6 linked regions of the Canis lupus familiaris genome follow. The protein of the gene in region 2 purifies or fractionates together with the protein of the main gene of each other region. This does not show direct contact. Links are inferred from orthologs where the notes say so. Each region holds a gene or a part of one and is shown on either strand. Other genes may lie near its edges. The genes, in order: SART3, LSM4, PRMT5, MEPCE, PATL1 and WDR77.

The links.
Region 1: the proteins of LSM4 (region 2) and SART3 purify together in Homo sapiens (affinity purification with mass spectrometry; 4 studies listed by BioGRID and IntAct, counting the BioPlex papers as one, with this or other methods). This does not show direct contact. The link is inferred for Canis lupus familiaris from reciprocal best matches to the Homo sapiens genes LSM4 and SART3.
Region 3: the proteins of LSM4 (region 2) and PRMT5 purify together in Homo sapiens (co-immunoprecipitation; 3 studies listed by BioGRID and IntAct, with this or other methods). This does not show direct contact. The link is inferred for Canis lupus familiaris from reciprocal best matches to the Homo sapiens genes LSM4 and PRMT5.
Region 4: the proteins of LSM4 (region 2) and MEPCE purify together in Homo sapiens (affinity purification with mass spectrometry; 3 studies listed by BioGRID and IntAct, with this or other methods). This does not show direct contact. The link is inferred for Canis lupus familiaris from reciprocal best matches to the Homo sapiens genes LSM4 and MEPCE.
Region 5: the proteins of LSM4 (region 2) and PATL1 purify together in Homo sapiens (co-immunoprecipitation; 4 studies listed by BioGRID and IntAct, with this or other methods). This does not show direct contact. The link is inferred for Canis lupus familiaris from reciprocal best matches to the Homo sapiens genes LSM4 and PATL1.
Region 6: the proteins of LSM4 (region 2) and WDR77 purify together in Homo sapiens (affinity purification with mass spectrometry; 3 studies listed by BioGRID and IntAct, with this or other methods). This does not show direct contact. The link is inferred for Canis lupus familiaris from reciprocal best matches to the Homo sapiens genes LSM4 and WDR77.

What each region holds. Positions count from the first base shown.
Region 1 is NC_049247.1:18,686,895-18,691,487, reverse strand, and holds part of SART3 (squamous cell carcinoma antigen recognized by T-cells 3), read right to left. Parts: intron 4,515-4,593; coding exon 4,359-4,514; intron 3,415-4,358; coding exon 3,276-3,414; intron 2,807-3,275; coding exon 2,699-2,806; intron 2,269-2,698; coding exon 2,191-2,268; intron 2,073-2,190; coding exon 2,014-2,072; intron 1,118-2,013; coding exon 1,008-1,117; intron 1-1,007. UniProt on the Homo sapiens protein: U6 snRNP-binding protein that functions as a recycling factor of the splicing machinery. Promotes the initial reassembly of U4 and U6 snRNPs following their ejection from the spliceosome during its maturation.
Region 2 is NC_049241.1:45,114,668-45,119,797, forward strand, and holds the start of LSM4 (U6 snRNA-associated Sm-like protein LSm4), read left to right. Parts: upstream 1-1,643; 5' UTR 1,644-1,729; coding exon 1,730-1,732; intron 1,733-5,130. UniProt on the Homo sapiens protein: Plays a role in pre-mRNA splicing as component of the U4/U6-U5 tri-snRNP complex that is involved in spliceosome assembly, and as component of the precatalytic spliceosome (spliceosome B complex).
Region 3 is NC_049229.1:3,370,331-3,374,800, forward strand, and holds the end of PRMT5 (protein arginine N-methyltransferase 5), read right to left. Parts: intron 3,872-4,470; coding exon 3,762-3,871; intron 3,447-3,761; coding exon 3,353-3,446; intron 3,176-3,352; coding exon 3,059-3,175; intron 2,848-3,058; coding exon 2,783-2,847; intron 1,952-2,782; exon of another isoform or gene 1,426-1,951; coding exon 1,273-1,425; 3' UTR 870-1,272; downstream 1-869. UniProt on the Homo sapiens protein: Arginine methyltransferase that can both catalyze the formation of omega-N monomethylarginine (MMA) and symmetrical dimethylarginine (sDMA), with a preference for the formation of MMA.
Region 4 is NC_049227.1:9,182,171-9,187,528, forward strand, and holds the start of MEPCE (7SK snRNA methylphosphate capping enzyme), read right to left. Parts: upstream 3,408-5,358; 5' UTR 2,420-3,407; coding exon 740-2,419; intron 1-739. UniProt on the Homo sapiens protein: S-adenosyl-L-methionine-dependent methyltransferase that adds a methylphosphate cap at the 5'-end of 7SK snRNA (7SK RNA), leading to stabilize it.
Region 5 is NC_049239.1:37,560,192-37,564,784, forward strand, and holds part of PATL1 (protein PAT1 homolog 1), read left to right. Parts: intron 1-501; coding exon 502-599; intron 600-1,393; coding exon 1,394-1,453; intron 1,454-2,438; coding exon 2,439-2,587; intron 2,588-4,067; coding exon 4,068-4,227; intron 4,228-4,593. UniProt on the Homo sapiens protein: RNA-binding protein involved in deadenylation-dependent decapping of mRNAs, leading to the degradation of mRNAs. Acts as a scaffold protein that connects deadenylation and decapping machinery.
Region 6 is NC_049227.1:41,098,630-41,102,772, reverse strand, and holds part of WDR77 (methylosome protein 50), read right to left. Parts: intron 1,290-4,143; coding exon 1,219-1,289; intron 1,093-1,218; coding exon 1,038-1,092; intron 551-1,037; coding exon 479-550; intron 1-478. UniProt on the Homo sapiens protein: Non-catalytic component of the methylosome complex, composed of PRMT5, WDR77 and CLNS1A, which modifies specific arginines to dimethylarginines in several spliceosomal Sm proteins and histones.

The sequences.
Region 1 (4,593 bases), on a different chromosome or scaffold from region 2:
CCAGACTAAAGATACTTGCCAAACTACAAAACTGTGCCACTTTTCTCACTAAATTATTTTGGAATTTGAAAAACACACAAAATATATTCTTTATGTTAAATGTAATGAATTTACTATTGTGACAATTTTTAATTTCTCAGTTTTCTAATATGGTAATATTACATACATACAACTCACATACACAAAAGCTCTCTACAGTTCTCAAACTTTTAAGAGTATAACAGGTCTTGAGAACAAAAAGCTTGAGAACTGCTGACCTAGAACAATATTCAAGAAGCTTTAATAGTGTCATCTCTGGGGGTGAGATGCTAAGGAACTTTCACTCTCTACCACATAGTTTGGCAAATGCTCTATTTTAATTTGAGCATGTTTTTTTTTTTTTTAAATGGGGGGTAAAACAAAATATTCCCCAAAAAAGTATACAGAAATACATTTACTGACATGCAATGTTCAAGATACAATAAGTAGAAAAGATGGTCTTATTCTTTACATCTTCCCCATGTTAACAACAGTTGGTCATGTCTCATTTATTTAAAATAACTTTTAAAATTTGTAACATGTACTCTGTCATTGCATTTTCTTTTAAAAAAAATTAAGCATAGAAAAATCTCAAAAACCATTAGCTAACAGGGGTTACATCTCTGGATTTATAGATGCAGATAATTTGGGGTTTTTCTCTGTTTTTTAATATCTTCTACTTTTACATACAAAACCAATATAAAAAAATAGTTCTCCAAAAATTCAAATAAAATATTCAGGTCCAAAAATCAAAACAAACCAAAATAACAAACTAAAAGAAATGTTTGGCTGTACAACAAGCCTGGACACAAAATATTAGGTTTAGTTTCCTAACCTCGCCCAGTACACATATAGCCACTAATGAAGGACAGGCGGATAAAGGCCCAAGGCCTGTGGGGAGGAGCAAGCCCAGGCTGGCAGGAGGCAGCCAGGACCCACAACAGCTGACCCCTGATAAGCACCACCAACCCCGCCCCCAGGTTGGTTACCTCTCCAGGTTGTAATACTCGAGCCACATGTTGGCATACTTGGCGTTTCCTTTGGTCATGATGCTGTCCCAGAGTTCCCGAGCTTTCTGCATATTATTGCACAGTCGAGCCTAAAATGCATAAATAGGCTCCACTAGGAAAGACTCAAAACTTGCAACGTTGGCACCTATTACAAAACATACTTTGAACAGAAGTGCCTTAAAACCCCCCACTGATGATCAGTGTTCTGTAACTCCCTGGATATTCCCCAGCCGCACTGCACAGCAACAGGCCCAGCTCAACCACTTCCGGCTTTTAGAGGTGACAAGTCTCAAGCTGTTGGCCTATACTATATGAGAGCTAAGAGCAGGAGCCCACAGGTTTTTATTTTTATCAAGCTTACTACAAAAGTTTAATCCAAGAGGCAATGCAGAGAAAGACTGATCTAGGAGTAGGTAGGTCCTAGCTCTGCCATTTAAGTGACTTGGACAAGTGAACCTCTCTGAACCTGATAGATATTTGTTTTTTTGACCTGACTCCCCCTCAGAAAATAAAACATGATTAGAATTTCACAGTTCTGTGAGCTGATCAAGAGCAGGTTCCATACCTTAGTCACTTGGGGTCCTTGCTCCAACAATAATATCTATTCCCTAATTATTTGTCAAATTTCTGACTCCCACACAACATTCAAGACTTAGGAGCACAGAGCAGGTCTACCTCATTTCCCCAGCACACAGTATAATGCCTGCCAGATAGTACACATCCAGTATACTCTCACAAACCACGCACCAGGGTGGGGCGGTCCACAAGTGAACACCTGGATTTCCGATGTCTGCTGCATAAGTTCTTACCCAAGTACTGGTGTTTCTCTTAAGAAACAGCTGAATGCTCATCAAGCTAGATATAGAACACAAACTCTTAGAGACCCTAGACCATCACCTAGGATTCTGACTCAATGTTAGCCACATTATTACACAAATGTCCTTCAAAGGTGGATGTCACAGACAGATGTGTCAAACACACTTACCTCGATCCTAGCCCAGTTCTGCATGATCATGCAGCTTGGATCTCCACTCTCATTGAAACCTGGAAGAACAGAATTAGTCACAATTAGAAATGAATTTAGAGACAAACAGCCTCTGAGAAGGCATATCCACCAAGAGGAAAGACAAGTGGATCAAGGAGTGAGTGAAGCCACACTTACGCTCCTCTACCTCCTGTTTGAGATACTCCAAGGCGCGAGTGAATGCAGACCTCAGCTCTTCCAGCTCTTTACTGGAGTCTGTTAGAAGTTGCAAGAGAGGATTGGCTTCAGGAAACCGCATACCATGTCTTTTTTGTTTGTTTGTTTAATCCTACAGTGAAACTCCTGGGAGCCTGCTATGCACCTGGCATCATGCTGGGGACACAGAAATAGAATTGCCAGTCCCTGCCCTCATCACATAGTTGGGGAGAAAGACACTAGAACAGAAAGCACAGTATGGAAAATGCTGGCAGGAGCCAGGATAAAATATAAGGACCCTAACTCTTCCTTTACAATTCACAGCAAGACTGGTTAAGGATTTATGTAGCTAAAAGTTCTGGGGGAAAACAGTTGTCAATGGCTGGTCTACATCATTTGCCTAATCATAATGTATTTGGGCAACTAGGACTCTCACCAAAACATGTTAGGAAAAAACTAAGAACTGAATTTGACATGTGAATATAAATACCTTGTTTGAAATCAACCCTTCTCCTCAGATAATCAAGGTACGCCTGCCAAATCTCCACATAATCAGTGGCCTGAATGAAGCCAGCACTCAAAGCTTTCTCGAAGGTCACTAGAATTGAAGAAAAAGCCAGGATTTGTTACCAATTCAAAAGGAAGTTATCAAGAGTTATCAAGATTGTTACAAAAGCCTCCACTGACTATCAAATACTATATGACTTAATAATAATGACAAGATGCAATAAAGTGAAATGGGCTAGAGAGAAAGGTTCAACAGAAAAGCTCCTACAGGATTTGCATGAACTGTGTTCTAGAAAGGGCACGTTCCACAAGATGCCCTGCACTAAAAGAATTCCAGGTCAAGTAAGTTTGGAGAAAAGACTCCCACTTCCTGGAAAATCACAATAAGTGTTAGCATGATAAAAGCTTATAACCAGTTTATTTCCCACTTAGGGCCTTTTTTGTCACTAATACCCAATATCCCAAACCAGCCAGGGAAGGCTGATTTAATGACTATCACAGCACTATGTGTCTGGCCTGGAACAGAAAGCCTAAGACTCTTCCCACAAAAACATTCGCACCAGAAATCACTCGATGGTCAACTCCATGTCTTTCCATGGCCAAGAGGTAACGAGTCCACAGGGCAACTGTCCAGGGGCAGTTTCTAACAGCACGATTATGTACAGATAAAACCAAATCCTTCACTTTCAGCTGCCGATCCTACGATAAAGAAGTCCACAGTTAGGAGATCAAATGCTATCGTTACAGGTTTCACCATCCATGAGACATTTCCAGCACAATCAGCTAACAAAAGAAATCTCCTTAGAAATGCCTCTCATAGGACTGGTTTCCTCAAGAAAGAAATTGTAAGAAGGAATGGGGCAAGAAAAGATGCAATGAGGGGAATGTATAGATGAAAACACCTTAAGAGACATCAACCAATCCGAATGGATGGACCTAGTTTGGATCCTGATTCAAATCTTTTATATCGGGGATCCCTGAGTGGCTCCGTGGTTTAGCGCCTGCCTTTGGCCCAGGGTGTGATCCTGGAGACCCGGGATCGAGTCCCGCATCGGGCTCCTTGCAGGGAGCCTGCTTCTCCCTCTGCCTGTGTCTCTGCCTCTCTTTCTCTTTCTCTCTCTCTCTCTCTGTATCTATCATAAACAAATAAATAAATCTTAAAAAAAAAAAAAACATAAAAAAAATATTTTATATCCACATATTGAAATATTTACAAAGAAATGTGATTTCTGGCTCTGCTTCAAAAATCACACGAAAGGGGGAAGAGGGTTAATGATATAAACGAAACAGACTAGTGCCATGAGTTAACTGTTGGAGCTAGGAGACGGGTCCAGGAGCTTTTCACCCTATAATCTGTGTTCTAATGCTTATGTTTTTTATATACTGAAAAGTTACAAGAAAAAAGTTAATCTGTCAGAAAGTCCTCAGTAACAAGACTGTGCAAGTTTTTTTCACAGTTAGCGATCAATTTGAAATGACTTGAAACACTGGAAAAACTGAGCTGGCAGAGGTGAGAGGAGGATGAGAGGAAAGGGGGAAGCAGAGGGGGTGGCACACAACTAACTCTGGGCACTCCTGCTACTTTTCTTTGAACAGATTCTCAATCAGCAAGGAGGTAAGTTAGAACAGTCAAGTCGTCTTACTAGGTACTGACTGTAGCGGATCCACAGGTCTGGGACGAGGCAGTTCTCAACCAGGGCACGCTCGAAGATCAACTGCACACGAGCAGGGTCACCAATTTTCATCTCAAAATCGATGTATGCTTGATATTCAGCCAGCCTGGGCGCCTCTGCTTGCAACTGAGGCAAAGTATAATGAGGTTGAAATGAGCTACTTGACACTGTCGGGAAACACAACATATCTTCATACTCAATTCTG
Region 2 (5,130 bases):
GAGGGCAACTATTGCTCATTTACAGGCTTGAAGGTCAAAGAATGGGTAAAGGTCAAGGCAGAGGAAGGAACCTTTGATGGTCACCCAATTGGTAATTACTTGATGAGGTGGATTGAGTAGTGCCCCTAAAAAGATATGTTCTATTATAACACGGGTAAATTCTAATTCCCGTTCCTACAAATAGGACCTTTTTGGAAATAAAGTCTTTACAAATGTGATTAAGGATCTCAAGATGATATTATCCTGGATTTAGGGTGGGCCTAATAAGAGAAAGGAGTGTCCTTATAAGAAAAAGAGAGGAGATTCCTGGGTGGCTCAGTGGTTTAGCGCCTGCCTTTAGCTCAGGGGGTGATCCTGGAGTCCCAGGAGGGGAGTCCCACATCGGGCTCCCTGCAGGGAGCCTGCTTCTCCCTGTGCCTGTGTCTCTGCCTCTCTCTCTGTGTGTGTGTCTCTCATGAATAAATAAAATCTTTTAAAAAGAAAAAGAGAGAAGACTTGAGATAATGAGACTCACAAAGAAAGCCATGTGAAGACAGTGGCAGAAATCAATATTTCTGGGTGCCAAGAACTATGAGGATTGCTGACAAACACCAGAAGTTGGAAAAGATGAATGGGACAAATAGCCACTAAGAATCTCCAGAAGCAATCAACCCTACTGATACCTTGATTTCAGACTTATGAATAAAGCTCTATTTTTTTTTTTAAGATCTTGTTTATTTGAGATAGCAAGCAAGAGAGAGAGAGAGCACAAGCAGTGGGGAGGGGAGGAGGAGATGGAGAACCACAGAGGCTCTCCACTGAGCAGAGCCCCACACAGGGCTTGGTCCCAGGACCCTGGGATCATGACCTGAGCAGAAGTCAGATGCTTAACAGACTGAGCCACCCAGGTGCCCCAAATTCTGCTGTTTTAAGCCACCCAGTCTATGGTAATTTGTATGGCAGCCCAAGGAAACTAACACATTTGCCTATTTTTTTTCCTTGCCACCTGTCTTCTCAACGGGCTCCTAAGTCCCAGGAGGGCCAGTTTCGTCTGGTTTGTTCACTCTGTGTTTCCAGGAACAGACACCTAGCAGGTGCTCAATAAATATTTATCACACGCCTGGGTACTAAGTGCTTTTACCTAGCTTAACTCCTTTCATCCTTACTACAACCGAGGGTAGACACTATCACGAGGCCAATTTTCAGAGGGGCAAACTGAGGCTCAGAGGGGCACAGTCAGGATTCCAACCTAACCAAAGGACATGCCTTGGATAAGGATCAACTACAATAACGAAAATCAAAAGTGTAGGAGCCCTAAGGGAGACATTAGGCACAACCCAATAACCACGGAGCCTCGATTTCTTCCTTTGCAAATTGCAGCAATATCCGGCTTTGCCCACAGCGCGGAGCCCAGGAGGGCTGAGAGAGTTTCACCCGCGCATGCGCCTTTACCCATAAGGCCCCCTGCGCTGGCGCACGCGGTTCCGCCCCCGTTTTCAGCACTCACGTCGACACTTTACGGCCTCTCATTTGGCCGGCGAGAACACAGCCAACCTCGCCCGTCGTTGTCTAGCCGACCCCCCCTACTCCGCGTGGATTGGCTGCTCGTCCCTCGAGCCCCACGCTGATTGGTTCGTGTCGCTGCCACTTCATTTCAGCCTAGTGGCGCGCGGCAGGGCGGCTACCGGCGGCGCGTGAGTGGCGGCGGCGGCGGCGGAAGTGGTCGGCGAGCCCGCTCCCCGCCGACACCATGGTGAGGGCAGGGCGCCGGCGAGGTCTCTTCGGGAGGCTGGGAACGCGGCGGCCGAGGGCCCTCGGGGCGGGCGCTGCAGGCAGGGGCGACGCGGAGCTAGCGTGCTGTCAGGGCCTCGGTTCTGCCGCCTCGGCCCGTGACGGGCACACTGAGGCCGGAGAGGGCAGGGAGGTCTCCCAGAGCATCCAGCCTGTCAGTCTCGGGGGGAATAGACTTGGACGAACGTGTAATCCTAGGTCAGCCTCGCTGCAGTCTTCCCATTTTGCAGATGGGGATACTGGGGCCTGAGAGACCCGCTAAAGGGCTCGGTGAATGCTGCAGAGGGAGTTCGGGCAGGGGAGTGGCTCCGAGTGCATCCGACCCAATCTAGCTTCACATATTGGGAAGTGGGAGCGACCCGAGGGGGCCCGATCTGAGTTCTCAAACTAAACCAGTTTGAGAATGTCAAGATTTGCAAGGCCCTTAGAATGTTAGCACGATCTTCTACGCCTCTCGTTTTAAGGCTGAAAAAAATAGACCCAGAGAGGGGGCTTTGTCTTCTCCCTGGATCACACAGGGTGTCGTTTCCGGAGAAGGGGAAGCATTTTGAGCCTGGAGTGGACTAACTGCACCCTCCCATTTCACTGAAGAGAAATTGAGGTCCTGGTGAGAAGCCTCTTCTGGATCATGCTGTTATCAGATCCTGAAAGTTCTGGATTTAAGTCAGAGTGTCTCCTGCCTTCAGTGTCCAGACAGGGAGGTGCGTCCGGCTGGCTCAGTTACAGAGCCTGCCACTCTTGATGTCGTGGTAGTGAGTTCAAGCCACACGTTGCTCGTGGAGTAGAGCTTACTTTTTTTTTTTTTTTTTTTAATGTATAGACAGGGAAACAAGACCACACAAATTCAGAGCAGGCCTAGGAGAGTACCTGGCCCATCAGCACCAGAGTCCCTCAGGGTCCCTGCATGTTTCTCAGCTGAGGGTTGCACTAAGTACTGCTCACTGGTGCAGGAAATGAGAGAAGGGAGTGTAGTGTGTTCCTCTCTGCTGGAGGGCAGAGGTGGCCTGAGAGGAGGGGTGGAACTGGAAAATTCCTTCTTCCTTAAGCTCCCTGGATCTTTGGATTTTATCCCCCAGTATGTTCCTAGAGCCTAGAACAGTGCTTGTGCAAAGAACATATTTTTTTTCAGCCTGAAGAATGTCCAGGAAGGGACAAGGCATGACACACTCCCAGTTCCCCGTGGGTTATAGTGGGGCCGGAAGCAGGGATCTGAGGGTATAGGGGGGCAAGGGGGAGTCCGTAACAGCTTCCTGAATTGGGAGCCTCAGGAAGCCATCGGGTCTAATCTTAGATTGGTCTAGACCTGAGAACCAGATTCCAGACATTCTGAAAAAGGCCAGGGGAAAGGATGCTTTTTCCAGAAGCTTTTGACTTTCCCAACTCCAGGTGGCCCTGTCTTCCCTGGAATGGTGTCCTGGCTTGTCCCATCTCCCTTGGCACCTTCAAAAATTTCTTCCCCACCAAGTTTTTTAAAGTTCTCAGGGATCTTCCCCTTCCTCTTGCCTCTGTCTCCAGCAGTTTGGGGATGAGAATCTCAAAAATGGCAAGATGTGGACCCTGCTCCCAGCCTTTGCAGCCGTAGAGAGCTGTCCCTCCCAATGCCGCCTCTCCTTTTCTTATCTGTGGGGTGGGGCAGGCATCCCAACCACACCATGTGCCTCCCCGGATGGTGTATGCATTTTCTTGTGTATTTGTTCAGCAAATATTTACTGAGTCCCTCTCGAGTGCCTGGCCCTGAGCTCGGTGTTGGACAAAGTCCACACCCTCTGAATTTTCCAGTCTAGCCAGAGAGACATAATAAACAAGATAATTAGAGACTGGCTGTGTCCTAGAATGGAAGCAGCAGGGGGTGGCCCAGGTGGAAATCTTGATCCCCAGATGAGGTTATTATGAGGGCCTGGCTAAGCTAGGTGAGAGGTGATATGTGAGCAGCCACCAGCCTGAGGAAGGACTGCTGAGGCCAAGGGAACTGCAGGAACAAAGGTCAGAAAGCTGGACTGGGTGTGGCTTGCTGGAAACCGAATGGGCCACTTTGGCTGGAGCTGGCTTGGCCTTGTGACTCCTTTGGGGAGTGGATGTGCAGGGGAGTGTTGGGAGCAGGTGTGGATCACTTCTGTGTCTTAGATGTCCTCTCTGCTGCTTTCTGAATAGGGCACTGCCCGTGACAGGGAAGCTGGGGTTCTCCAGGACTGTGCTGCCAGTTGCTGGGACAAAAGAGAGGCCAGCAGGGGCATAGAAGCTGCACATGCCATAAAAGGACTCCTGTGGGTTTCCTGGTGACAGGCTTCAGCTTACTTTTCGTGGGCTTCCCCAGGATCTTGCTGTGGTGTCCCTGGGAAGGTCCCTCCTGCTCTGGCTGCTAGTCCTTCATCTAGGGGGACCTTGGCTATACCTCTCTGTCTCTCAGTGCTGAGTCTGTCTTTATTCTTGCCTTCCAGGCCCAACCTTGCTCTGTCCCCTCTTGGGTGATCTGGAAGGAAGACCCAAGGGTGTCATTGCCATCCTGGTCCACATTCCCATCTTTGACACAAGAAAACAGGCTTGCTCGAGAAAGCCTGAGACTTCACCTAGTAAACAGCGGCCGAGGCTCATGGCCCCCGTGTGTTAGATCCTCCTGCTTTTCCGTGGCTCTCTGTACCCGGGTACCATCGCACAGATGAAGTCCAAATGAGAGGGCAGGAGCTGCAGGTTGGCTAGGTCAAGCCCTGGCCTGCTCGCCTGTCCTCCTTTGAGCAGCCACGCCTTCTCCACGTGGCCCTTTCTTCCTTTTTATCTTGCCCTTCCAGGAAGCCAGTGCAGGAAGTGGGCTTGGGCCTGGCTTCCTGCCGGCACTGGACCGCTCCTAGGCTGCTGTTCTCTGGAAAGGCTGTGGGATGTGGGAATTCCCCTCCAGCCTCTCCATGGAAGCCATCCTGTGGGGGTTGAGGACCACTTCTAGCCTCCAGTCCCCACCACCTAGAGAAGCAGCTGCCCTGCACTAGGTAGGAGTGTGAGGGCAGGCCGAGACTCCCCTGCAGCGAGCTTCTGGGGTTTGGGCTGACTAAGAATCCCAAGGAAGCCAGGACAAGGAGCAGTGAAGCTACCATCCTGCCTGAGGCAATGTCTCATCTGTAGGACCCTCACTCAGACCAGAACCTTCATTCAGCTTTGCTGGATGAGTAGTCACTCAAGCGCTACCACTGGAATGGCCTTCCTGGAGACTGGCCCCAGTGTATGGGTCATGATTTGTGTTCCCAAAATGAAATGATTTTTTAGTATCTTGAAAGCTGACTTTACAGTGGGTGAGTTTTTAAAAAAACGCATCTTGTATATGCCATCACTTGTAGTAACGACAGATTTTTTTTTTTTTTTTTCTGGAAT
Region 3 (4,470 bases), on a different chromosome or scaffold from region 2:
TTTCCCCTTCTGAGCGTGCTGGCCACGCAGCCCTCCCAACTATCTCCTCTTACCCTCTGTGCTTGGGCCCGGGAAAACACAAGTGTTGTCACGTTTGTCTAATTTCACACTCTCTTGTGGTTATTGCCTGGTTCCACAGCTACACACTTCCCAATTTTTCGTGTATGTGCTGCCGAAGCGAGCACAGCTACACACCTCGCACTGCAAAAGTAAACCTGGAAGTTTCTCAGGTGACTCCTTGGGTACAGCAATACTCAGTCCTCTAACCAGAAAGAGAAGGAACTGATGTCCACTCTCACGTTCCAAGGGGATCCAGAATCCTCACACTTCAGTTGCCCAATATGTTAGCTGACAGAAACATAACTGGTTAGATCATTGAGAGAGCCACAGGGTTAGAGGATCTGTGTTCCAGTCTTGATTTGAATATTATATATCTTTGTGTCAGTTTCAAATCCTCCTGTATAAAATGGAGAATTGGCACTCTTACAACTTCAAACTCTAACCTTGTGACTTTATTCAAATAAAATAGGTGGCTTCTTGTTGGAGGTGCCTGAATGGCTTCCAGTTTTCCTCCCAAGAGGTAGCTGGCAGTGCAGCAGCTCAGGAAAGCGGAAGGGAAGCTGGCTTCACTCACTACTCCCATCTTTCTCCACGAGGGCAATCTTTTCTCCCCAGAGAAAAGCCTAATCACAGATCTTAATGGACCTCTTTGCAGCTGGTCCCAAAGACCTACACCCAGGAGTCCAAGAGTGGCCATTAAGCTTCCTATATACAGAACAAAGATCCTTTGGGTCTTGAATAAAAGCACAGATCTGAATATGCCTAGGTTTAAGTAAGGTGTGAGAAAGCAAAGGCGCAGGGCAGCAGAGTTGGAGCAGGAAAAGGCTGATAACTTCACTTTATTTGTATTTCCTCCCACACAAAACCATCAAAACAGAAACAGAGATGGGCAGGGAAAGGGATGAAAATGTGTTTAATCCACATGTTCTCAGGGCTATTCCAGGGAGTACTTGAGGCTGAGTGCCTGTTGGAGTAGCTTCAGATCCAGCACAAATTCCTCCCTCCCTGGCCTGGAGTCTTTACAGGTTGGTGGCCTGAGCCCTGCAATTAATTCTCATCCTTTGCCCACCTTGCTGTAAGGCAGGAAAGCAGACTGAAATGCTCCGCTCTGATGGGCAAAGGGGAATCACAGCCCACAGATGTACTGCACTCTCTGTGCTTCAGGAGCGGAACTTTAAGCTGCTTCCAAGGCTCTGAACATTGTAGGCAGGGCTAGAGGCCAATGGTGTATGAGCGGCCTGTGGGGTTATGAATAGCAGAACAGACTGGTGCTGTCACAGCCCACTCATACCACACCTTCTTGGAATTGCTGCATCGCCAGAAACGCACACAGATGGTCTGGCCTTCACGTACTGTAATGGGCTGCTGCAAGAAGAAAGACAGAGAAGTTTAAGGTAGAACTAACGAACTGTATATGGCAATATACTACTGAGCTAAGTGTGGAGAGAAAAGGATAAAACCTGACATTCCAATCCTCATGAAGTTTATTTGAAGTCTTTCAGAATGAATAATCAGAACTTCACAATCAGACATTGAACAGAAAATCAAAAGTGTGATGAGGGCCATGAACATGCAGAGGATATGCACTACAAGAGCACCTATGAGACGGAACTCAAACCTAGTTCTGTTGGTCAGGGAAAGTTACCAGACAAGAGGAATGTTTAAGGGGACCAGGAAGGTAAGTTAAATGGGTGAAGAGATGAACAAAGAACTTTCCAGGCAAAGGAGAAAAGTGTGAAAACCTGAGGCAGGAAAGAAGACTGTATTAGAATCCTGATGAGTACTGAGTAATGTACAGATATGCTGAATTATTATGTTGTATACCTGAAACTAACAGAACACTGTTCATTATAGTTCAATTAAAAAAAAAAAAAAAAAAAAAAAAGGTCCACAGGGGTGACACAGTGTAATCAAGGAGATAGTAGCTGAAGAGACAAGCTAAAACTAGATCACACCGAGTCTTACAATGTTAAATCTTTATTCTGAAGGCAGTAGGAAGTCACTAAAGGTATTTTCCTTTTTTAAAGATTTATTTATTTGAGAGAGACACACAAGCCGGAAGGACAGGGAGAGGGAGAGAGAATTCCAAGTGACTCCACGCTTAGCACAGAACCCAACACCAGCATTTGGCTCAATTTCAGGACCCTGAAATCCCAATCTGAGACAAAACCAAGAGTCAGACACTTAATTGACTGGACCACCCAGGAGCCCCAAAGTTGTTGAAAGGTTTTAAGCAGTACAGAATTATGATCAGATTAAAAGATGACTCTTGCTCAAGGTAAAGACTGGACAGAATAGACAGAGGAAATGTGGGAAAGCCAAGGAGAAAGGCAATAAAAACATCTCAACACCTACAACAGATCCACGAGCATGTGGGAGCAGAACATGGGTCATAGTCAAGCATCATCCTGAGAGTAGGAAAGGGGCAGAACACCAATGGCAAAAGTGACACCTTAACCCACTGAGTCTGAAAGGTGATTCCTGGGACTCCTGGGTGGCTCAGAGGTTGAGCCGCTACCTTTGGCCCAGGGCGTGATTCTGGAGTCCCAGGATCGAGTCTCGCATCGGGCTCCCTGCATGGAGCCTGCTTCTCCCTCTGCCTGTGTCTGCCTCTCTATGTCTCAAATAAATAAATAAATAAATAAATAAATAAATAAATAAATAAATAAATAAATAAATAAAATTAAAAAAAAAAAAAAAAAGAAAGAAAGGTGATTCCTACCTTGATGGGGAAGAGGATGGGAAACCATGAGAACATCCCAGGAGAGTGAGTTTCTGGACGGATACCTGTGTGAAAAAAATAATGAAAAAAACTGAGGTCTCTGTGACTCTTCTTTTTGCCTGGATTGAGGGGAGTGTCTTCTGTGAACAGAGAAACAAGTAACCTAAGATCCACATTCACTGATTCCTAGGCTCCCTGTGACTCTAAATGAAACATCTACATAAGTTGCCCAGATAACATACTCATAGCGTGCCATCCTCGGCCCCAGATACTCACTTAGGGTGATGTCCTGATAAAGCACAGTCTCAAAGTAGCCTGCAAAGCCATGTAGCACTGTATTCACCTCCACGGGAAACTCCAAGGTGCAGTAGCGGTTGTTGTCAATCATAGGATCTGTTAGGGAGGAGTTGCGTGGATGACAAGGGACTAGAAGCTCTAGACAACTTGGTAAAGCAAGAACAAGAACTAGCAAGGGCAGCTTAGAGAGAGTAGACCCAGGATCGCAAAAGAAGAAACCACAAAGTAAGCTTTCAGCCATCCAGTCAAGAGGACAGCCACACAGGAACCCACCTCTATTGGGATGGCTGAAGGTGAAACAGGGCTGGGGCGCAGACAACTGGTGGAAGTTGTGCAGCCGCACCACATAAGGCATCTCGAACTGGGCCTGTCCCAAGAGACCGAGCAAGAGCTGAAGCAGATAGGCAAGACATCTACTCCCCCAGGTAAAGAAGCCTGGGCGTCCAGGACACAGAAAAGGATAAAAAAAAAAAAAAAAATTAAAAAAAAAAAATTAAAAAAATAAAAAGAAAAGGATAAAAATATTTTCACTTCAGTCACTTTCCCACATCCCCATCTCTTCCTTCACCTCTTCATTTTCTCCAGTGGAAGCAAACAGTTGATGCTAATATAGGAAAAAAAAAAAAGAAAAAAAAAGAGGACTAAAAAGAAAAGAGCTCTGCAGAAGACAGTGGCTTTTTACCTCAGGGTCTCGGTCCTTTTCTCGACAGGCTCTGACCTCATTGTATAACTTGGAGGAGGAGATGGGAGCCAGAAAGGAGGTGTACTCCCCAGGGATGCTCACACCATCATCTGCAGAGCAGGAGGATCATATAAGTTCCGAAGGGATGAAAATGGTATGTCTAACTGAAGGTTTAAAGCTCCCACATCAAATAGACCCAGGCAGGGGCACCTGGCTAGCTAAGTTACTAAGCTGGTGAAATGTACAACTCTTGATCTCAGGGTCGTACGTTCAAGCCCCATGTTGGGCATGAAGCCTACTTAAAATAAAAATTGAAAACAAAACAAAACAAAACAACCCCCAAAACAGACCCAGGTGGCTCAATGTTGTCACATTCCCAGGCCAACCTCCTTCCAACCCCTGTCATGGGAGATTCTACTTCTAGGTTAACCTACAGAGACACACAAGATTAAAACTGGAAAAAACCCTAAGATATTCTGAACTAATGGTTCTTCTGTGGGGTCTTAGAACTCTTAGAGATCTGGATGAAAGCTAAGCCCAAGGTATGTATCATGTCAGTATAGGGAGTCCACAGATCTCAGACTAAGAATCTCTAATCTAGTCCACTCCTCTCATTTTTACAGATATAAAATTTTACAGAATGCTGAGGTTCAGAAAGATGATTGCATTTGCTAAAGGCACTGACCCAAGTCCCACCCACCTTCCCCTA
Region 4 (5,358 bases), on a different chromosome or scaffold from region 2:
AGAGAAGTGAAGAGTCCCAGCCCTTAGGAAGCCTTTTCTAGATGATAAATTCATCAACATCTGCAAAGTCATTTTTGCAAGCTTAACCCAACCTGCCACCACCAGTTGGCTTAACTGGAGTATTTTATGGAGAGCTATGTACAGTCAGGGAACAGACACTCTGAAGACTACCCTTCCCGGTTACAGAGGACTCCGACTCTCCCCATCTCACGATCTCAGGTCATCATGAGATGACCTATGGCCAAACTACTTGGGGTCCTGACCACCAACTCTTCAACCAACTCTGGATCTAAGTCCCTATCAAAGTATTAGTCAGCCACCACCCTATTCCTCCTCCCACCCCAAAACATTCCATGTCTGACACCTATCCCTTCATGCACCTGCATTCAGTGCGTTGAGAAAACTTTCCAACTGAACCAAATCTAGTGAGCAGCAGGAGCAGCCTGCAAGGGAAGGTGGACTGGTGTGGATTACAGTCCAGGACAGGAGCAGGGCAAAAGGAGTCAAACCCCATCTTGGGACCAGTAGTCATGACAAAGGAGCCTAGGTAGAGCCCCCATGTTTCCAGGTTATGGGGCGGGGGGAGACACTGTCAGTCACGATTCAGATCCCTGAAGATCTGGTTCTCCTGGCAGAGTACATGCAGAAATCCCTCTGGGTCATAACTTTCCTGTCTTATTCCCACTTAATCTCATCTTCACACCTGGCCCCTATACCAAGAGCCTTCAGACCCTCTTACCGTGACGAAGACAACATTGTTGGGGAAGACTGATGTGTCTGCTCCATCCAAGGGCACTTGGGGTGCAGCGATGGGACCCCGGCTGGCTGTCAGTGAGGCTGGGAAGCAGCTTCTCTTTCGGACGGTTATGGTCCCTTCCTCACTCTCTGCCCCTGGGTCCCCCTCAGAAGTCTGGGATGGCAGACGCAGCTCCTCAGACAGGTAGTGTCGGATGTTTTGGCGGGCCGAATGAATGAGTCGGGAATCGATATCCAGACCCACCATGCGGGATGGGCCCCACTTACAGGCAATGCTCAGGGTCAGATGGCCCACATTGCAGCCCAGATCTAGGACGTCCCGACCCCGAAACCACTCAGGCTTCAACACTCGAAGGCGCCCATCCTCACAGGAGGGATTGCGGTAACCATAGTACTTGCAATAATTCCCATACTGGAACTTGAGCTGTTGCTTTTTGAAGACTGCTGCAGGTAGTGGGTGGAGGTGGAGGTGGTGGTGGTGGTGGTGACGGCCTCCCCCACTCCCTCTGCCCTTCTCCTTGGGACCCTGGACTCCACCCCTAGCCCCTGCCTCTGACTTGCTGGAAGTCCTGCGACGTTTGCGATGTCGTGAGGAGGAAGACGGGGTTGCAGAGGTAACTGAGGCAGCTGGAGGGGCTGAAAGGGAGCCTGAGGGACCCTGGAGGGCAGATGGAAGGGGAGACACGACCTCATCCCTGCAGTTGATGGCTGTGTTGAGTTCATAGGGCTGAGGGGCATCCCGGTTCTGGCCCCTGTGCCGCTGCTGCTGTGGGGTGCCCTCCCCATGGAGTGAGGGAGTGAGGGGGGCTGTGGGGAGCACAGAGTGGCTATCATTCCCTCCGGTTGCCTGCTGCTGCTGGTGGTGCTGTCCCCGATGTCTATGCCGCTTCCGACCAGTCTTGAGTGGCGATGCAAGAACTACCTGGGCCTCATCAGTGCAAGTATTGAGACTGAGCGGGTCAGTAATATCTTTGGGGATGAGGATCTCCACTGGATCTCGCCCCTTGGCTGGAAGTGGAGATGACTTAGGGGTCTCTGCATTGAGTGCGCGGCTCACTTCCTCATCCAGGAGGCTATTCAGGTTCAGTGGATCAAAGATATTGCCCCCCAGGAGAAAGTTGGAGGGTAACACAGAATCACAGTCCGAATTAACCCGCCTGCGCCTCTTGAAGGCCGGATGTTTGAAGCCTCCACCACTCCCTCCCACGTTACAACTATTTCTCCTCTTTCCCCCACCTCCCCCAGGGGGCCGGTGGGGCTGATAGCCATTGCGGGGTCGAGGAGGGGCAGGGGGACCCAGTTCTGTTCCGCCTCCTCCCCTTCGCTCCTCCCCAACGTCAGGGGGAGCGGCTCGCCCGTGGGGATCCGACAAGCGGGCCTCCCCATGAGACTGCGCCTGGGGGCCGCCCCCTCGTTGCTGCTGCGACTGGCCTCCCCGAGTGGATGTAGCCCCAGGGCTCTCCTTGCCGACCCCAGAAGCCGGGACCCCCGTCGAGTGTGTGCGCGGGCCCGGCCCACGCTGCGTCCCGCCGCAGAGCTCCCCGGAGGCGGCCTCTCGGTGAGGTTGCAGCGTGGGGCCGCCCCCTCCGCCCGACTCATCTTTGAGCGGCGGCGGCGGGGCCGGCACCAGAAACGGCTCCTTCTCCGCCGCCATCTCGATCATTTCCTCCCCTTATTCCGTCCCAGTTGAGGGCAACGGGGGGGGGGGGGGGAGAACTAGGGGGCTTAACCCCCCTCCCTAGAGCCCGCTCCCTTCCCCCCTTCCCTGAGTGCGCGCGCAGCTCTGCTCTTCTCGCCTAGTCTCGCGCCCAAGCGCCTCCCCCGAAGCGCGCCCCACTCGCCCGCGAGACCAAAACAAGATGCCCGCGAGAACCGAACAACTCCAGGAATCAACCGCGCGTGCGCCAACGCCTTTCTCCTCCACCACTACCGCTTCGCCGCGAGCGCGCACTGCTAAAGCGCGTTCCTCTCGCCCCTGAATCACGCATGCGCACTCCGCCACCACCCTGGTTGCGCGCGCATGAGTACGAACCAACTTAACGGCTCCGGGAGTTTAAATATAGCCCACCTCAGCCCCCACAAAAGCCCACCACCCCAAACTGACACCCTACTTCCCTTCGCAGCTATGTCCGTCCCTACTGATATCCTTTGTCTCTGCCGCGCGATCCCACCCACCGTAGGCGGGGGACGGGGAGCTGGTGTGAAAAGGTCTCCTTGACACCCGACCCTTGTTCCTGAGGAATGAGTCTCAGCGGTCTCCGCCCGGCTCTAAACCCAGCAACCTCCCTACCCCGCCTCCTTCCTCCCCCTAGCGGGCAGCGCCTGCGCACACCCTTTTGGGCTTGCGCGGGTAGATACAGCACGTGCTGGAGATGACGCCCCTCCCTCCACCCTAGGGGCGGAGACTGTTACGTCGCTTCCTTAGATTTGGTACACGCAACGTGCGTCAGCACGGTTTGGAGGGGGCGTGGTCAACGAGTGGGGCGGGCCTCATGAATTATTCATATTTCGATCGCCCCCTTTGCCCACCTACTTAGAAAGGCTTCCGAAGGAACGGAGGGGTGAACCTAAAAGTAGAGGAAGGGAAGGAGAGGAGCGTACAGACGGCTTGCCTACGAACTGTTCTCAGTAAAATACAATAAGTCATTGTAACTCACCCCCCTGGGAAATAGTCTCTGCTGAACTGAAAAAAAAAAAGGCACTAAAACAGCCGATGTTGTCCAACTTCCTCTTCCCCCGAAATGGCCGAGTCGTTCTCTCGCTCCTCCGCTTTACCCCAATGGCGATCACCTGGGGACACCACGCCCTCCTCTCCGCCTCCACACCCACAGCCCTGGCACCAACACCTCTTCCCACCACCCGACGCCTGCGCGCGAGCCCCTAGCCCGCCGACTGCGTCCCGACGCCCACCGCAGCCACCAATAGCAGCACATTCGCCACCACCACGGCCACCTCGCACGCAGGCCTTCCCAAGCACACGCTCTCTTCGCGCAGCCTTATATAAAAACGAGTGTGGGCGGGGAAGAGGGTTCGGCCTGCTTTGGGCCCCCTGCCTCGGCCAATGGGGAAGAAGCTGCTCGGCGCCCTTTCCACAGGGTGCTAAGGTGGCGCGTTCTCCCTGCCAACATAGCTTGGGGAGCGGGTCCTGTGGCAGAGAAGAAGGCGGGAGGGGCGACAGTGGGGTTGCAGATAGTCTCAACTAAAACATCAAGATAGGGCGTGAACGAGACTAAAAGGAAGAATAGGAACCAGGAAACGAAAAGAGGAAGGAAAAAGCAGTCTGGGGTAGAGAGAAAAGTTAGTAACAGACAGATGTGCTTCATGAACGATCAGGCGCTGCTCCCGCCGCCTAAAAAAAAAAAAGTGAGGACACTGAGGATTATGGGATTTGTAGTTTTACAGGGCATTCGGCTGGAAGATGGCGGATAGAACAGCTGCGCAAAAGCAGAAGCAGTTTCGGCTGCGCATGCGCCCCAGTTTTGGATGCACGCCGCGGGGGTGGCAGCGCAGCTAGTGCGTGTCCTCACGCCTTTTCTTTGTGGCGGGAAAACTGGGTCGAGGTTGGAGGGGTTTGCGGAATTGCTGCAGTGGCTCATTCTGCTCTTTGCCTTTAGGTCCTCCTTGCTCCAGAAGGTAGCTGGCTTTTCTCCGGTTGCAGATGAAAGTGCTAGGCGCTGCCAGTCCTGGTACCCGTCGCCTGAGGAGAAATTTTCTCTTCTGGACAACCAACTCCTACCCCTCCTAAGAATCTCCACCGCAGACCTACCCTCCGCAAACAAACAAAAGTGACCCAGTATCCTGGCGGCCAGTGACGGGCTGAGCAGGAATGAGAATACGGGTGCCTCCCCCGGGGGTGGGGGTGCGGTCGGGCCTCTAACGGGAAGTTATCTCATGGTGGCGGTTCCTGAGGTGGAAGAGAGGCTTGCAGCAACCCCCTGTTTTATCCACTGAGGGGAATCAAGGACTTGGACTCTGGTACCTCCGATCTTAACTACCGTCCTTAAGAGAGAGTTGGTGAGGGAAGAGAGCGGGGAAAATGCGGATCTCCAGAAGTTCTTACCTCTGGTTTGAAAGGCGGAATTAGGGTTTTTACTGTTCCAGACCATGGCACCTTGTGAGAGGAAATGGTGCAGGCATGTAGGGGTTCGTGGGAATGTGCTTAAGTGAAACCAATACACAAAGGCGAGTTACTTTGGTAACGAGCACCAGTGGCAGTGTTGCAGCTGGCAGATAAGAGTCCGAATGAAATCAGCCCCCACAAAAGAAAACTTGTATTTTGGTGCTAAGTGGCCATATCTTTGTGCTTCCTTGCCCTCTGAACGGATAAGCTTCAGTTCACCGAAAATATATTGAAGAGATTTGGTACAAGGTTTAGTTCGTAGTTACCACAGTAAATGTTGTTAGATAATGGGCAGTAAAGGGAGCTGGGATCTTGTTTTTACCTTTTTTCTTGTGAAATCATGCTTGCCGAGGAAGAAAAAAAAAAACCCACTATGGTTATTAATGGGGGCATAAAAAATAAGCAGGGATCCACATGCCATTAGACATTGATGCCAAAAGGAAATCAGACTCCAAGATGAAAGATTTTAAATATAGTTTTCC
Region 5 (4,593 bases), on a different chromosome or scaffold from region 2:
GAATCAGTGGTTTAGCAGATAGACTTGTAGATCCTTTACTGCTTGAGGTTCCTTAACTTTTTAAAACATGTTATAATTTCTAGTATCCCTATAATAAATGGGAAATACTTCAGATTTTTATTGATTATCCTTGCAACCAAAAAATGGGAAAAGATTTAGGTAAAACATCACATTAGATACATAGATTTTGGGGATCCCTGGGTGGCGCAGCGGTTTGGCGCCTGCCTTTGGCCCAGGGCGCGATCCTGGAGACCCGGGATCGAATCCCACATCGGGCTCCCGGTGCATGGAGCCTGCTTCTCCCTCTGCCTGTGTCTCTGCGCCTCTCTCTCTCTCTCTGTGACTATCATAAATAAATAAATAAAAATTAAAAAAAAAAAAAAAGATACATAGATTTTTGTACTGAATTGTTAGGCTCTGAGTAAAGAATAGAGAATATAAAGGTCTTTGAAAGCTGCCTACATTGCTAAGTTATTTGTCGGAAATGTTCTGTCCTTGCAGTGCAGTTCGAGGGCTCTTTGGGAAAGCTTACTGTCTCCAGTGTGAATAACCCCCGAAAAATGATTGATGCCGTTGTAACATCGCGGAGTGAGGATGATGTAAGTGTCAGCAGAACTGTGTTCAAGAAATGCTGGGTCAGGTCATCCCTACTCCCTGGGGGTCATTGTGGGAGGGAATCAGGCACAACAGAGTTGTTTGTTATCTAACTGGGAGCTTTCCTCCACCGCACCCCAGCACATCCTGGCATTCTGGTTTCCTGCGGGTGGGCTGAAGTGCTAACACCTTCCTTTTTAAGGCAGCTAGGCCAGACTCTGGGTGGCAGGAAGTCTTTACACTGGGTCACTGGCTGCAAATAGCATTGGCTGTTTATTCCAGTTTTTAAAATTACCATTTTCTATGTGTTTTAAGATTTTCTTGTGATTATCTTCATCTTCACTGCATTCTACGATTACCTTTTTATCCATCTGTAAACTCAGTTTGGTAGTCTTTGTGGGTGAATTCAGTCAATTCTATGACCTTTGTCCAGTTATCGTTGTTTAGATTAATGTTTATTAATTAATGTGTAAGTTTCTCTTACAGTCTTGTCACAAATGAACTATGCACACTTAGAAAATTGTTTTTAGGGGATCCCGGGGTGGCTCGGCAGTTTAGCACCTGCCTTTGGCCCAGGGCGCGATCCTGGAGTCCCGGGATCGAGTCCCGTGTTGGGCTCCCAGCATGGAGCCTGCTTCTCCCTCCTCTCCTGTGTCTCTGCCTCTCCTCTCTCTCTCTCTCTCTCTCTCTCTCTCTTTCTCTCTCTGTCTTATCATGAATAAATAAATCTTAAAAAAAAAAAAAAAGTCTTTTTAACAGAGATAAAGAATTCACACTGAATAGTCTTGTCTTTTTTTAGGAGACAAAAGAAAAACAGGTTCGGGACAAGAGACGAAAAACCCTTGTCATAATTGAGAAAGTAAGTTTTAGAATTTGTTGTTGTCGTTAGTTCCAAATAAGGAACTGTCAAATATATGTGTACACAAGAAGTGGAAAAGTAAGCAGTCGGTGTGCTGTGATTTTAATTAATGAGCATATTCTTCTTACATGCCTGTTGTATACCAGAACACACTAGAAAGGACGTGCTGTGCCTCACCTATGGCCTTGTGGAAAGAACACTGCAGTTACAGTGACACGTCCTGGGTCTTTGTCCAAGCTTGTTCAGTTAACTGCTAAGTGTTTGCGGTCAGGTCACCTTTCTAAGAAAGTGAAAAAAATTATATTATTCCACCTGTGAATTGAGTTAATTAAGTCAGTTCACAGGTATTACTGGATATCCCCTGGATGCTGGGCACTGTGCTGGATGCTAAGAAAAATGTGGTCCTCATTTGGCACTTAGTTTGTAAAGTATAAATAACAGTGTTGCAAGGCCATAGGCACAGTGAGGAAGGGCACAGAATGTGCAACCACACTGCAAGTCACATCGTCTTCATTTCTGAGTCTGTGACTCGAGGCAAGCTACTTAATCTTTCTGTGCTGTCGTCATTTTCTTTATCTGCAACAGTGGAGACAGTAATAGTCTTTTTTCAGACCGGGTTGTGAAGAGCATCAGGTGAAACGAGTATGTGCACCCAGGAGTGAAATTATTGCTGTGTTTATAGATATAAGGCACACCTGAAGCAGTGATACAAGTCATTTATGTTACAGTGCTATTCTTGCTGCTGGAAAGTTTTCAAAGTACTGTCCGTTCCATCCTGGTTAGAAGTCAGGAGGGACAACAAACAGGAATTCTTTAAGTCCTTTCACTCTGTTTTTCTGGATTCAACAGCACCTTTTTCCTCTCAGTCTTACTACAGTTTGTTTCCACTCTTTGTCTGTACCTGGTGGTCTTAAACTCTCAAATTGTTTATCAAATACTCCGATCCTGACCCAGCATGCTGTCGCCTGCTTTGTGTCTCACTTAGACCTATAGTTTACTCCTGGATGTGGAGGATTATGAAAGGCGGTATCTCCTAAGTCTAGAAGAAGAGCGACCTGCCCTGGCGGATGAAAGAAAGCACAAAATTTGTAGCATGTATGACAACTTAAGGGGGAAATTGCCTGGACAAGACAGGTAAGAATTGTACACTTGGAGTGACACGTGAGACCAGCCAGACTCCTCACTTGGCTGACCTGAGCTTTCTACATGTCTCTCTCTCAGATACCTTCCTTACCATCCTGGGAAGCTCAGAGTCTATCCTTCTGGCCTAACTCAAGTGCCATGTCATACAAAGCACTTCATAATCCTTCCCAGCCAGGAAAAAAAAAATCTCTTTTTTCCAGATTCATTTATTCATCACCAATATATTTCCTACCTGCTAAGGCCTATGCTGGGCACTGCAGATATGGTGGAGAACAAGATATGGTTTCTGTGTTAGAGCCTACAGATTGTGCTTGCTTTATGCTTTACTGTAGCAGGTTCAACCTTGTAATCTTTGTGTTATCTTTTTCTACTGAGATGAAAAGTTTAGACATTTATATTCTCTTGGGATTTCCATAGAATGCTCATATGCTATGGAAGCCAATCAATCTTCCGGTGGGGACTATGCTCCTTAATATAGCTGTTTATCTGTATCTGTCATCTCTCCCATGCAGGATCTTGCTAACAGTAAATGTTCTATAAACCCAAAGTGTTTTATTTGATGAATGCAAGAGGACTCTGTCCTGATAATTTCCTTTCCTTTGCCCATTTAAGAGAATCGGTGATTATTCTAAGCCAGAACACGCACAGACCAGAACATAAAAATAAGCACCCTCTTTTCAGCACACCTTTTCTGGAGTCAGGTTGACATACAAGTGGTTGAATAAATGTAGGTTTATCCATAGTTTGAGATGTTATGCAGCCATCAGATCAACGTAGTTGAAGTATGTTTATGGAGATAGAATATTGTCACAAGAAGTTGTTGAGTGAAGAAAGTCAAGAAACAAAGCTGTGTGAATTCTCTGGATTTTTTATTTTTTTTAAGATTTTAGTTAGTTATTCTTGAGAGAGACAGAGAGGCAGAGACACAGGCAGAGGGAGAAGCGGGCTCCATACAGGGAGCCTGATGGTGGGACTTGATCCTGGGACTCCGGGATCACGCCCTGAGCCAAAAGCAGACGCTTAACCACTAAGCCACCCAGGAGCCCCATTTTTTTCTTTTTTAGTGAAAAAATATACAGCACAAATGTTCTTAAATACGATAATAATATAAAGTTAATTCTGAAATGATTGTTTTTATATCCTTTTTGCTTATGTATGTTTTCAGATTTTGCCGTATCAACCATGTTTTTTGTTTAGTTGTATAACACATAAAGGAAACGAATGCATGTAGTTTGAACAAGTCTTTTTAATGTACATCTGTGAAAGGACAATTTTCTACATTTGAGAAACTTGAAAAACGACTTGTTAATGTGTGGTTGAGAGTTGGAGAAGTAATTCTCACTATTTTGCAGCACAGGTCATCTTAGGGTGAAAACGAGCACAGCATATTCGTTCAGTAACATGGAAGAGGAGAAAAAGGATGTCTTCAATTGTTCTTGCTGACCTAAGTGAGCATTTCCTTCCCCCGCAGGCCAAGTGATGACCACTTTGTACAGATCATGTGTATCCGAAAAGGGAAGAGAATGGTTGCCCGTATTCTTCCTTTCCTCTCCACAGAGCAAGCAGCTGACATTCTCATGACAACAGCCAGGAATCTCCCTTTCCTTATCAAGAAGGACGCACAAGACGAGGTGATCCCCCATGTGGGACTTCTTTCCTTTGGGTCTTCATAGTTTATAAGGTTTCTAGAATCCAAATTTCATTTTCTCCCCCTCCTCATTTCTGCTGTCTTATCTAACCTTCAGCAGTAGGATTTGATTATTTAAAGGAAAACTCCAGGACTATATTTTTAATCCCACTTTTGCTCCAGTAGACCAAGTTCCTAAACCAAGGAAAGCAATAATCCCATCTTAATTTGACATAGTTGTGAGGTTATGTTGTATATCAGAATTTTGGGAGAAGCAGATAATTCAGCCCTACTCCCAACATGCTGAATCAGAATTTACAGAGGAAAAATCAGGGCTTCTGTATCTATAACAGAATCCCTAGCTGAATCT
Region 6 (4,143 bases), on a different chromosome or scaffold from region 2:
AGCTAACCACTCTGTGCATCAGTTTCTTCTTTTGCAAAGTGGGGATAATTAGTCACTGGTGGTTGTGAAAATTAATGAACGAGGTAGTTATTATTTTAACCACAAACTATGTCATCACAGGTACAGCCTCATCGCTGTGAGAGCATGAGAGCTACCCCCACTCTACAACAGAATTCTCTACGTAGCAATCCACTTGTTCTGTTGTGATCCACTGACTTCTGGCTGCACCCAAAACATAGGAGCTGAAGCACATACTCAGGAATCAAATCTACCAGGAAAAAAGTCATCACATTTTGCAAAGTCAAACTAAAATCACTTTTGGATCATTCCACCTTCCCACCTCACCACTGGCAGAATTTACATAATGCTCAGGTGTGCTGGTGAGACTGAGCGGCCAGGGCTTTGTGCTTTACAGGGTCAGCGTGCTCTCATCCTCCCCCTTCCCAGAATCAAAACGCTGTGTGACAGGCCGCCTTACCAAAAACAAAGACTTCACTCTGCTGAGGATGCCAAGCCAGGGAGGTAGGAAGGTAGCCAGAGGCAGTGCAGCCTGCAAAGAGAGAAGAGGGATCTGAAACAAGACTTAGAGCCCAGCTCTGGGAAGGAGCTTCTCAAACAAAATTCACTCCAAATCCCAGAATCACCTTAATTTGCCTTCTCAAACCCTGCTAGCTAAGGCAGTTGTGTCCTTGCCCTCAATCTTCATACCTTCATTTATCCTTCAGCCTCTCCTGTCCTTTCTGGACACTAGTCACAGGCAGGTTTCAGGTATAAAACATGAAGGCAACAATTCTGGCCCCTTTATCTACCCATCCCAGAAACGTAAAGTATATCAGCCACCCACGAACCAACCCATCATCTTGGTACCCACTGCACACAATGGAATCAACAGCTTCAATGGGAAAGAGAGTGAGTGATTATGTCTCTTATGCCACAATGACTGAGCATTTGGTGACCTTGCCTTTGTCTCTGGCCCAGGAAGCCTCTTCCAGGTGGGTTCCTACTACCACCCTCCCACCACCGGCTCTCAGACTCACCCATCTGTGATGCTGGCTTGGGACAGCGGGTATCCCAGAGTAAAATTCTGTTGTCCTAGAAGAAGGAACAGGAAAAGAGCTTCACAATCCAAAAAGCAGCTGCGGGCCTCCACACTAGACTTGTGGCCAGAGGGTTCGAGTGTGGTTAGAAGTGAGGAGGGAAGGAAAGGCTGTATCTCACCTCACTGCATGAAAGGAACACGGAATCCTTGTGGGGAGAGGCTGCGACACAGGTGACCTGCCCAGAGTGAGCTGTGAAGGAGAGAGAGGCAAGCATGACAGAAAAGCTGCAGGCATCACTACCAAGCAGCCCAGATACCACCAAGGGACCCCTTATTTCATGAATGCAATCTAACACATTTTGTGAGAGATTTTGGATCAGACAAAACCTAAGAGAAAATGTTGATGGAGTTCTAAAGCTAAAAAGGCATGGGGAAGCCAATGAATTAGTAAAGACAAAGGAAGAAAGATCAGGGGCTGGGCAACAAGAGTGAAGGAATTTACATCCCAGAATAGCAATTTTCAGATTTTAGTACACACACCTCCAGACAACATAGAGAAACTTTCAAGGGAGGTCTGGACACTGACACATTTAGAGAAATAAACTTTCCCAAAGTTCTGTTTCCTAAAACTGAACTGAGAAGTTTCCAGTCTGCCAGTGCCCCTTTCCTTCCTCCTCTTTTACATTCCCCTCCTCCCAGTTTTAGAAGAGACACGCACTTCTCAGCCACCCCACATCTCACCACGGTACAATGCCCAGGTGCCTGAAACCCTAAGGTATTAAACAAAAGGGGCTTTTCCCTGAGAGCCAAAGAGCATCTCGGCAAAATTCAGTGCAGGAGCTGGCCCTGTCTCAGCTACCACAAACCACAACACACCACGAGCAACTAGAGTATTCTGGGACTCTATTTCTGCCTAACAATGAAAATTTTGAGAACTATGACAGATAATGTCCCGAGGACACATCTGACAAATTTAACTGAACTTAAAAATGAAGTCAGACCTTTTCTGATAGAAAGTTGAGTCTAGGGGCTCCTGGGTGGCTCAGTGGTTGAGCGTCGGCCTTTGGCTCAGGGTGTGATCCTGGGGACCCAGGATTGAGTCTGTCGGGCTCCCTGCATGGAGCCTGCTTCTCCCTCTGCCTATGTCTCTGCCTCTCTGTGTCTCTCATGAATAAAGAAATAAAATCTTAAAAAAAAAATCACTGTAAAAATCAAAACCAAACTGACGTGTTACTCAAAGCTATGGTTGCACACCGGCACCATCAGTATCATTTGGGAGCTTCTTAGGAAATAGTCTCAGGACCACCCCAGAGTTGCACTCGGGTAATCCTTTGGTACATTAAAGTTTGAGATGCGGGAATTCCTGGATGGCTCAGCGGTTTGGTGCCTGCCTTCGGCCCAGGACGTGATCCCAGAGTCCCGGGATCGAGTCCCACATCAGGCTCCCTGCATGGAACCTGCTTCTCCCTCTCCCTGTATCTCTGCTTCTCTGCCTCTCTCTCGTGAATAAACAAAATCTTAAAAAAAGGAAAAGAAAAAAAGAAGGTTGAGTCTAATTTGGCCAGCTGGCCTAACAAAGCAGGTTGGTTTTTAGCCAGTTAGGTTATTTGATAGACATTTGGCAGAGGTTACAGGGACTTAAACTGCAAATCCAAAATCTTGACCAACACGTGCTTGAAACCAGTGCACAATAAATGATATGGCCAGAAAGTACCTCCTTTGCAACTATTTAAATTTAAATTAGATGCCAATTTAAAAATGTGTGAGAGGATAGTTTTTCAAAAAATTTTCAGGAGGGCTACATGCTAAAAACTTTAAAGATCACTGCCCTACGATGCATACAGGCTGTGGAAACCACCTACTCTGAAGGCATTTACCAGGCTACTGGAGATAGTCTGAATATGGCTCTGCCCAAGACAGGAGGATGTAATCCAACCACCTTTCATAGTTCTTCCCTAGCCCTTGAATCCATAAAAAGCCAACACAATGAAAAAAAATTGACCACTCACTTGAAAGCAAAGTTCAGAGACAAGCACCATGGGAAAATACAAAAGATAAAAAGTGGTTCCTCTGCCCTCAAGGGATGTGCAATTCAGTGGGGGGAGTAAGACAGAAATACAAAGAACTGATGAAATACTATGAATGGAAAAAGTGCTGAAGGAGTTAGTGCAGACCAGGAAAATCCCTCATAGACCTAAAAAACAAAAGGCATCAGTGTTTTAACATTGACTATTTATAAATCTTGGACTCCCACTAGAGTCTAAGATTTATAAATAGTGAAGGTCCAGGATATGTAGGAGTTTCTAGTTTTTTGCTTTGGCACATATATGAATCATACACTTTGCAATTAGAATTGGCAGGGAATGGCACTTAGCTATTGAGTGAACCAGGTAACTACCTGGCATCTATATCTCTTAACCACACACATATTAATGCTCTAGACATCATCTCCATAGAGAATGGCTCTAAGAATAAAGTCAGCTGCTACTGCTATTGATGAAAGTAAAAAATAATAATAATAATAACATTAATAGAAAGTGACGGTTATCACTAGGAAAACAAATTTTATGGAAGTGAATATTCAAAAGTGCAAGATTCACAAGTTTCAGAGTATATACGTGGAAAATGCCAAGGCTCTACTATGGCTGGGTTTGATTAGACCAGTTTTTATTTACAGGGCAAGAGATAGAAGGGCTCCACTGCCATAACAAGAAAGTGAGATATTAATCCACAAGCCACGCAAATCATGAAAGGTGAGGGACTGCAGATGGAGAGATGAGGTGAGTGCCACCATCAGTGCGAAGTAAAACTTGGAAGCAAAAGGGAACATCAGAAATGGAAAGGGAGATCACTGACCAGGTGGAAAAAAATGTCAAAGGACTTGGGAACCCACTGATGGTGAGGAAGCAGGAGGGGTGGAAAAGTTTGCCTTCGAGCTGGAGTCTCATGTGGCCAAAAGATGGGGAGGCCAGTACTAGAAACAGGAAAATTATTAAGAAAAGGCATGGAACAGATACTGGGGCCTGATATACTTTTTGGAAAAAAACTATAAAGCAGAAAGGGCAAGGAACTGCTGCCCCTAACACCCAAAGTTCAAAGAGCCC